Arabidopsis thaliana: one gene and its partner. The main gene of each other region encodes a partner of the protein of the gene in region 2 in a complex. Each region holds a gene or a part of one and is shown on either strand. Other genes may lie near its edges. The genes, in order: NYC1 and NYE1.

What was found.
Region 1: NYE1 (region 2) and NYC1 share a complex: the UniProt entries of both Arabidopsis thaliana proteins name them as parts of the SGR1-CCE-LHCII complex.

What each region holds. Positions count from the first base shown.
Region 1 is NC_003075.7:7,683,650-7,688,758, reverse strand, and holds NYC1 (NAD(P)-binding Rossmann-fold superfamily protein), read left to right. Parts: upstream 1-1,752; 5' UTR 1,753-2,067; coding exon 2,068-2,358; intron 2,359-2,450; coding exon 2,451-2,529; intron 2,530-2,615; coding exon 2,616-2,751; intron 2,752-2,843; coding exon 2,844-2,918; intron 2,919-3,013; coding exon 3,014-3,209; intron 3,210-3,299; coding exon 3,300-3,368; intron 3,369-3,454; coding exon 3,455-3,594; intron 3,595-3,667; coding exon 3,668-3,790; intron 3,791-3,866; coding exon 3,867-4,059; intron 4,060-4,153; coding exon 4,154-4,342; 3' UTR 4,343-4,525; downstream 4,526-5,109. UniProt on the Arabidopsis thaliana protein: Involved in chlorophyll b degradation. Belongs to the chlorophyll catabolic enzymes (CCEs).
Region 2 is NC_003075.7:12,015,934-12,020,618, forward strand, and holds NYE1 (non-yellowing 1), read right to left. Parts: upstream 2,711-4,685; 5' UTR 2,674-2,710; intron 2,602-2,673; 5' UTR 2,037-2,601; coding exon 1,896-2,036; intron 1,779-1,895; coding exon 1,605-1,778; intron 1,411-1,604; coding exon 1,243-1,410; intron 1,167-1,242; coding exon 843-1,166; 3' UTR 530-842; downstream 1-529. Other genes in the region: PYR4 (pyrimidin 4), read left to right, coding at 3,382-3,411, 3,540-3,688, 3,881-4,062, 4,178-4,314, 4,384-4,549, 4,631-4,685. UniProt on the Arabidopsis thaliana protein: Magnesium chelatase involved in chlorophyll a degradation in the chlorophyll-protein complexes of photosystem I (PSI) and photosystem II (PSII). Contributes to the degradation of PSI and PSII in the thylakoid membranes.

The DNA of each region.
Region 1 (5,109 bases), 4.3 Mb from region 2:
GTGTGGAAAGAATGTATAGAGGTTTATGATTCTTATATGAAGGAGAATTGCACACTTAGAACTATATTGTTGTGGGCTATTAGTGATTATCTTGCCTTAGGAACACTGGTTAGATGTATGGTTAAAGGGAAATAGGAGTGTAACATATCTGGTAAGGACACACCAACATGCATGTTTTATTTTGCTTTAGTCAAATTTTGACAACACGACTACTGGAAGTGCACAGTTAATCGTCTGTAGTATAATGGGCTTTCTAAACCCATTCCAACTCTCATTTAGTATGATATTGTCCTCTTTGGGCTTATATGCTCAAGCCCGCAAGGATTTGTTATTGGGTTCCTTCCCAAAAGGTCTCATACTAGTTGGAGTTGGACTTGGCTTATATATTAGAAACTCTTTTTCTAAACTTTCGATGTGGGACCTTTGGTTTGTACCCAACAATCTCCCCTTCAAACCAAAGACCACGAACTTGGACCTCCTTCTTGAGGCACCTTCTTATCGTGTCATGTTTGAGAGATTTTCCCACATCGATCATAGCCCAAGCCCTAGGTCCAGTGTTTCAACCTGGCTCTGATACCATTTAATGGGCTTTCAAAGCCCATTCCAACTCTCATTTAGTATGATATTGTCCTCTTTGGGCTTATATGCTCAAGCCCACAAAGATTTGTTATTGGGTTCCTTCCCAAAAGGCCTCATACTAGTTGGAGTTGGACTTGGCTTATATATTAGAAACTCTTTTTCTAAACTTTCGATGTGGGACCTTTGGTTTGTATCCAACATAGTATTTATGGATCGAATTCCATTGGAAGAGAAGTAATTCAAACAAGTCTGTCAGAAGAGAGTAAAACTAGGACAAATCAATAAAAGAGGGGGAAAGGGTTGTTATTGTGTCACAGTTGTAAGTAAGTGAAGCAAGTAAATAGTAAGTGATCAATAAGAGACAAAAGTTGGACATTCAAGGGATCGTAGGGGTTCAATGATCTTCATGATCTAATCATGTTTATTTCCATGTTTTCGAGCATATAAAACACATAAAATTCAGCTACTGAGGAAAAATATATAAACGCATATATACATATGTACACGTCCACATACTTTCACGTTTAGGTTTTCGTTATTAGGGAAGTTGGACTTTTAATAGGTTTACTGATATTTGGGTCTCACGTAAAGCAGACCGGCTCTTTGGAGGTGCATGAGGCGCATTTGTTCTAGATCCAAATTTTTTTTGGTAAATTTAAGGATCTGATTAGTATGGAAAAGACCTACAATTTTTTTTTTTTTAGTATGAAAATGTCAATTTTAATGTGTTTTTAAAAAATTAGCATAAAAAGGGTCCAAATTTTTGTTTTATAGTTTAGAAAAAGATTAATTTTTAAAATTTGTACAGGGACTATAAATTTATTGAGTTGGTAGAGACAAAAAGCTTAAAGTTTACACAAAGGAGAAAATTATCATAAACACAAACATTATCAACTTTTCTTTGTTTGATATTAAATTTTTAATTTATAATTTTTTATTGTTCTAAAATAATATAAATAAGTAAGTGGTAGTTTGACAATAATCTCTATCATCTACTCAAATGTGACAATGGATACTACAATAATTTACTCAGGTACATAAGTAATGACGAAGTCTGAGTAAAATGTAATTTGAAATCAAATTTTGGCTTTCTAGAAGCAAAACTGAATCAAAATTTTGTTCATGTGAACCAAAATCTAAAGTAGCTCCCAAAGAGAGAAAAAAATATCTTGAAAACATGCGAAGGGACAAAAGAAACACAAAATGACACGTGTCAATGTTAGGCTAACGAGATGAGGTTGCTGTAACGTGTGGCCATCACACTTCTCTTCCTTCTTTCTTTCCCTCACCTCTTTCTTTCTTCGTCCTAATCTCCTTCTTCTTCCTCCGATCACTCTATTTAACGTCTTCGACGAATCCGAAGCTGAAAAATATCTAACAATCTATCTTTTGGGTCCCTAAAAAAGCTCCTTCGTTTATCTTGTTTTCTAAGTTATCTTTTTGTATGAGTTTCAAAGCTTATCATTATCTCACTCTTCTTCCATAGCTATGACTACTTTAACGAAGATTCAAGTGTACCCACAAGTCTTGGAGCACCGTCTCTTCTTCAGAGATCCGATACGGGTCGGGTCAAGATTGACTTGTAGAGAACGTAGTAATAGGGTTTATGTGCATCGGTGTGAGAAAAAAGTTGAAAGAAAGAGAAAAGTTGAGAAATTTAAGGGAAATGGGTCGTGGGATTCTTTGAAATCTGGGTTTTTAGGGTTTAGTAAATTAGGGTTCTTGTCTAAAGATGAGTATAATCAGAAAGTTGAAAACTTGGAGATGGTTTTCTCTTCGGTTAGTCTTAAAGTTTCCTCTTTTTTTCTTAATGAAATTTTCAATCTTTTTGCTTTGATTAGCTTAATTTTTATGTGTTTGTGATTTTGTAGGTTGCTGTTCAAATTGCGAGATACATTGTGACGATGACAAGTACTGGAGCTATTCTTTTGATTGGGTTTCAATTATCAGGTTAGTGCAAAAACTATTGTAGAAGAGTTTTTTTATTGGTAATTTTGTTTGACTGAGATTTTGAGTGTATGTATTTGTGATGAAAGGTGGAGATAGTTCGATGAACTCATTGGTTTGGTATAGTTGGCTTGGTGGAATTATCATTGGAACCATGACTGGTGCTAACATGGTTTTGGAAGATCATTATCGAGCCGGTCCACGGAATGTTGTTATAACCGGAAGGTACCTTCTTTACTTTTGTTTTTGCATTTTTTGATTTTTGTTTCTTTGTGTTTTGGTTTGATGCTGATGTATGTTTTTATGCTGTGTTTTAGCACTAGGGGACTAGGGAAAGCTCTTGCTAGAGAGTTTCTTCTCTCTGGAGACAGAGTCATTGTCACATCTCGCAGGTTGATAAATTGTATATATGGAATTATGGATTAGTTTTTATCAAGCAATGAAGTCTTAATATGATTTGTTTTTTGGTTTTTGTTTGTGAAATCAGTTCTGAATCTGTTGATATGACTGTCAAAGAGCTAGAGCAAAATCTCAAAGAGATTATGAGTAACGCTAGCGAGTCAGCTAGAAAGAAACTGAGTGATGCTAAGGTAGTTGGTATTGCCTGTGATGTTTGCAAACCCGAAGACGTTGAGAAGCTGTCGAATTTCGCTGTAAAAGAGCTTGGTTCCATCAACATATGGGTAAAGAAACATATTTCTTTTTGTACAGTTTGTAACTTTTTTTGTATCTTTAGTCATATGTTTGCTCACTGTCTATATTCATTTGGATAGATAAACAATGCTGGTACTAACAAAGGTTTTAGACCGCTACTCGAGTTCACGGAAGAAGATATCACACAGGTAAAATCCTTTTTGAACCTAAAGCTTAATTTCAGCTTGAGCTTATGGTGAAGTTCATTAGTCTAATTGTAACTATTATTTTGTAGATTGTCTCCACAAATTTGATTGGATCAATTCTATGTACACGAGGGGCTATGGATGTGATGAGCAGACAGCACAGTGGTGGACACATCTTTAACATGGATGGTGCTGGCTCTGGAGGTTCAAGTACTCCTCTCACTGCCGTGTAAGAACTCAAATCATTCGTTACTAGTCTCTAATGAATTAGAACACATTTCTGAGTCTGTGAGCTTTCGCAGATATGGTTCAACAAAATGTGGACTTAGGCAGTTTCATGGGTCTATAGTGAAAGAAAGCCAAAAAACAAACGTTGGCCTTCACACTGCATCCCCTGGCATGGTTCTGACAGAACTTCTTCTCAGGTATGCATACACTTTGTCACTAAGGCCTAGAACAGAATGCTCCGGAGTTTTATTGAAGCAACCATTTATTTGGCAGTGGTTCGAGCATTAAAAACAAGCAGATGTTTAACATAATCTGTGAGCTTCCTGAGACAGTAGCTAGAACTTTGGTACCACGAATGCGAGTTGTGAAAGGTTCGGGAAAAGCCGTCAATTACCTAACTCCTCCTCGGATATTGTTAGCTATTGTCACTTCCTGGCTAAGGAGAGGCCGATGGTTTGATGACCAAGTAAGTGTTACACTTGAGTTCTAGTTCAAGTTTTTTGACAAATCCTTCACTTGGTTAAGCCTGAGCTGACGCAAAGATGTGTACGTGTTTGCAGGGACGGGCGTTATATGCAGCAGAAGCAGATAGACTAAGGAACTGGGCAGAGAACAGGACGAGGTTGTCGTTAACAGACGCGATGGAGATGTATACAGAGAATACTTGGGTCTCTGTTTTCTCTCTTTCTGTTGTTTGCGCTTTCATCATCTTACAAAGCACAACACCTAGCTCTTTTCCAGGCACATAACAAACATCTTCCTCGGATGTGTTTTAAGAAAATTGTAAACGTACATGTTATGTATAAAAAACATATATATAACAGAACCGATTTGTTCATGTAAACACTTCTTATAGTTGTAGAATGTGTCGTTGTTGAAAACAATGAAAAAATAGATTGTAATAAACTTTTATCAGATTGTAGTATTTTCTAGTTTTCACTAGTTGGGCCTTTAAAGGCCCATTAAGCGGAGTTAAAAAAACACAGCTCCAATAACATTGCATCAATAAAAAAAGTGGAGGGCCATCAGATAGGAGCGAAAGACTGTGCTACTGAATAGTAATCATGGAGATCATTTGAACTATGCATTATTAATCATCACTTGACCCTTTTTTCCAAATAAACAAAAACAAACCAAAGATTGTTTGGCCTCATAGAGAAGATTAGATTTTATCAACAAGGATTAATTCAGACATATGCTTGTCTATTTTTTTGATTAAATCATTGGCCAAAAAAATCGATTAGAAGAAAGATTGAAAAACAAAAGTCAAAAAGTAGGACTCAGAATATGGGTGGTGATATAACAGAATGGTCGGCAAATAGGCTTTTTACGGCCGTTTTTACGACGAACGAGACCTTAAATATCAATCGTCACTGTCCGGAAGAAAAAAAAAAACAATTTTGTAATACGACAATAACAAAAGTAAGGGTTGGAGAAAGTATAAGGATTTGATTACGAGAGCAATTTGTAGCTTGAGAGATGATAAGCTTCTCTCTCTCTTTGGGTTTTTATACAG
Region 2 (4,685 bases):
GTATTTATTTACTTACGAACACAACATTTTATAAAATAAGCCCATGATAATAATGCAATAATTCGTTACCATTCTCTTATATTACTTGTTCTTCTTCTCTTTCTGTATTTGGTGTATTTGGTCGTAAATTAGATAGACGAATGGGGTCAGAGAAAAAAAGTCATCTTGATTTGGTTATAAAATGAAAAAGATATTGAAGAAAGAGACCAAATAAATCCAAGAAAATAATTTGGAATCATTAGGAGCAAGAAGTGGCTGATACGCTTTGCAAAACCACCAGAGAGACAAAGTCTTTTGCCATCTCTTTACCTTCACGTTTCTCCTTAGTTTCTCACCGTTACACCGACGAATTCGGTCCTTAATATACGTCTATTGTTACTTTGGTGATGATTCTCATGAATATCTTCATATTTCTAAACTATTCTTATTTGGGATATTAGTATAACTTTAAATTGGTGATGATTCTCATGAATGTTTTGATATATTAAAATATATATGTTCATTAAACAACAATTTATTCATCTTTATGTTTGCATTGCAGTAGTACTATACCAGTCTGTCACCTTTAATATTAGCTAATCTGTAAGAAATTTACATTTTGATCTTGTGGATGAGATACAATACAAGTATACAACTATGATAAAGACTTCAGAGTAGACACAAAATACCATTTGAAACTTTAAAATCTGTATTTAACCTACAAATAATCATTATTTTCCTATACCACATTATGTACACCAAACCAAACCAATATTTAGATCCACCAAAAGGAAAGTCCTGCCATTTCCTTTTCACTTTGTACAAACTACCAAAAGAAAAACTTGTAATTTGATATTTAGTCACTAGAGTTTCTCCGGATTTGGAGTAGCAATTCCCTCAGTCTGAGTCCCAGAGTAACCATTTACACCTTCATTACTAAGACTATGAGACCATGGAATCGAGCTAACGGTTGGAAAACAACAACTACACTCGTCCGCACACCGAGCCTCGGGAAGAGTCTCAGTCTTGTGACCATCAGGCGAAACAGCTTCCCAAAGCGGACCCCAACACTCGACTTTGTTGAACTCATTGACATTAGAATGGAAATAGACCCAAACAAGAGCTTCTTGTAGCTCAGGATAGTTGTTCAACAAGTTCCCATCTCCATGCACAAAAGCCTTCAACACCTGTATATATCAAAACAATAAACATTTTGTTTTACATGAAACCAATAAAAAGTTTCTTATGAATTTGGGAACTTACCACAGGTAGTTCTTTGCAAAAGATGAAATATCGAAACTTTGCAAAGAGATCTAAAAGGAAATGGCCACCGCTTATGTGACAATGAACGTGAAGCGACATTTTCCCTTTCACTTTCTTCCATTCTGCCACAACTTCATCCCGGTATAGCCTATTTGCCCATCCTTGCAACTATAAAAAACATTTCTATACATATCAGCCTCTAAAGTGTTAAGAGATTCTGGTGAATATAGACACATACATAGGTTAAAACAATCATACATAAGCCTCTAATATTTGCTCCAAATAATCAAATACATAAACATTCTACTCCTATAAACAGAGCCATGTAGATATGTTAAGACCAGAGAGAGAGGTGTTTTTACCTGAGAGTTGTTTATGGATTGAGAAATAGCTAAGGTTAGTTTAGCTGTAATGTCACTGTGAGTGAGTGTGTAAGTCCTAGGGAGCGTTGAAGGATGCTTCTTCTCATCAACCCCTAAGAAGAGTACTTTCAATTTGGATGATTCGAAAATCGCCGGTCCAAACAACCTTGCAACCTGCACCGATCCCAAAAGTTTCAAGTTCCATCAATAAAGACAGAGGCATAGATATATCCATAACTGAGACACATAAAACAAAGATATGTCAAAATGATTAAGAGAACAAATCCTTACGGGAACAATCGATTGGTTCTTCTTCTTGGATCTTCTATTGTTGAAGAAGAGTGAGCTGCTGCTGCTACTGTTACTCCGTTTGTCTGAATAAGCTGGTTTCAGCTTCGTTGGTAACAACATAATCGCCGACAAACTACACATCTCTGCTCTCTTGAAACCCAAATCAAAAGCTTCAATATTTCAGAAATAACAACAGAACAAAACGCCACTAAATACAGAGAGACTCCTTTCACGAAGCTTGGATACAATTTTTTCACGCGAGTTCTTGCGTGTTCGTACACTGAAACCACAATCAAAAAGATTGTAACTTTAAGAAATAAATATATAAAAGACCCAAAATTTGAGCTTTTCCTTTGCTTGATGATTGCTTGAAGCTTTGGTTTTGAATTTTCCTTTTGAGATCTTCCAGGAATTTAGGGTTCTTTGTGATGCGTATTGAGTTGGTTCTTGTGTTTAAAAGGGATTGTTGCTTCACGTTTCACACTTCCGTGCCCAAATCTGAACACTCTTTTGGAATTTTTCTGAACACGAGAGAGTGCCACGTGTTCTCTAATCTTTGCATGAGCTTCCCCATGTGTCGTCATGGTGGGGCTAACAACTGGCTCTAACCGTCTTTTTGGATAACTTTAGCCATCTCGTTGCGACAAAGAGACACAGATTCGGCTCTAACCGAACCTAACTCACGTACTGTAGTTGTCAGTCGAACCTAAAGCAATACGGTTTAGTTTCGGTTCAATTTAATGTCATTCGACTCGATTACTCGGTTTAGTTATTAGACCTGTGAAACTCGAGAGGCTTCTTCGCTTGAATCGTCGTGAACAAGGACAACAAACGCAGGTATTGATGGAACCGGAGGAGTCAGAGAGTCCCATGTTGATCCATAAGGATGTTAAAAAGGGCTGAAATTTGTGATCAGGTCCAGGTCCATTAAAAATATCGGGCTAAAATTGGGCTGGCCTGTTACAGAGCTTTTATTTTTTTCTTCTTCTTTTACGTTAAGCGACGTCGTATCTTGTAAACAACAAAACACGAGTACTGTTTTTTCTTCTTCTTTCTCCTTCAATCTCTTCCTCAAATCACTCTTTTTGGGGTTCGTTTTGTTTGTGTTGTAAGCATCCCTGTTGTGCATTTCGTTTATCCAGGTTCGTATTGCTTACCTAAACAAGTTCAAGTTTTCGATTTTGGTTTCTAGGTGTTTACCAGTTTCGCCATTTTGTGGTTTATTGTTTGGATAATTTGATTTCTTTGGATTTTGCTGATACCCATTTGTGTGTATAGAAATTTGATTAATCTGGATACTAAATTTCGTTTGGAGAAACATTGAACCAAAGGAATGCGAAATCTTTTGATGATGATTGAATAGTTTTAGTGCCTGCTAATACTTTAGAACAGAGTCAATTTTTTAAGGTCATGTTATAGAATCTGAGTCTACTTGTCATTTGCTTTGGAACAGGTGAATTCTTGCAAAGCCTTGAGCAGCTTTCAGATGATAAAGACTTTGGTCTCTCCTTATAGTGTATGTACTCTACCTCCACCACTCTTTGAGTCTTATTCTTGTTTAGTTCAATCCACGTGATCCAGTTTTAATTTTATTTAATTCCTCCTATGCGTCTGTTAAAGTCAACTATTTTATTCTTTATGTAGGGATTTGGATCTCAGAAGTTGAAGTTTGACAGATCTTCTGAGAAAGTGAAGACGAGAGCAGTAAGAATGGAGCTCACAATCACTCAACCTGATGATTGGCATCTTCATCTCCGTGACGGTGATCTTCTTCATGCTGTTGTTCCCCACAGGTCTTATAAACATCCTGCAATCTTTCTTTTCTTTCCTTGCTTTACTTTGTTTTGCAGCCACTTTTTTGTTTGCTATTGGTGTTTCTTGTGGAACCATTGTTTGTTATGTATGAATTCCTCAATCACAATCTTGTGCTGGCGTTGATGCTTGTGCTGTACATGATGGTTAATGGTGTATGTAATTATGTGCAGTGCGAGTAATTTTAAGAGAGCGATTGTGATGCCGAATCTGAAGCCTCCTGTCACCTCCACTGCAGCTGCCATTATTTACCGGAAATTTATCATGAAAGCTTTGCCATCTGAGAGTAGCTTTGATCCACTTATGACACTTTATTTGACTGACAAAACTCTACCTGAAGAGATCAGGCTTGCAAGTAAGTACCTGTGCTTTCTCCATCTTGTTGCAAACTAATCAGATACATTTTCATCTTTCTGATTGAGATTCTACTTGCTAATGTTCAGTTTATGCATATATGATCTTGTTATTAGGGGAAAGTGGTGTGGTTTATGCGGTGAAGCTGTACCCTGCCGGAGCAACAACCAACTCTCAAGATGGTGTCACGGATCTCTTTGGAAAATGCTTACCGGTACTAGAAGAGATGGTCAAACAAAACATGCCTTTGCTGGTAAATAAATCATACACCACATAGACTTGTATTTTTGTCTTTGTCTTGTCTGAGGAATGTTTTGATTAGGTTCATGGGGAGGTCACAGATCCGAGTATCGATGTCTTTGACCGCGAGAAAATCTTCATTGAGACAGTTCTGCAGCCTCTAATCCAACGCCTTCCGCAGCTGAAAGTAGTGATGGAACACATCACAACCATGGATGCTGTGAATTTTGTTGAATCTTGCAAAGAAGGTTTTGTTACTATCTTATTTTCATTTCTTGTCTTTTGGTTTTTGTTAATCTGCATAGCTCATAACATTTTGTTGATTATAGGGTCTGTGGGTGCAACAGTCACACCACAACATCTCCTTCTCAACAGGAACGCCCT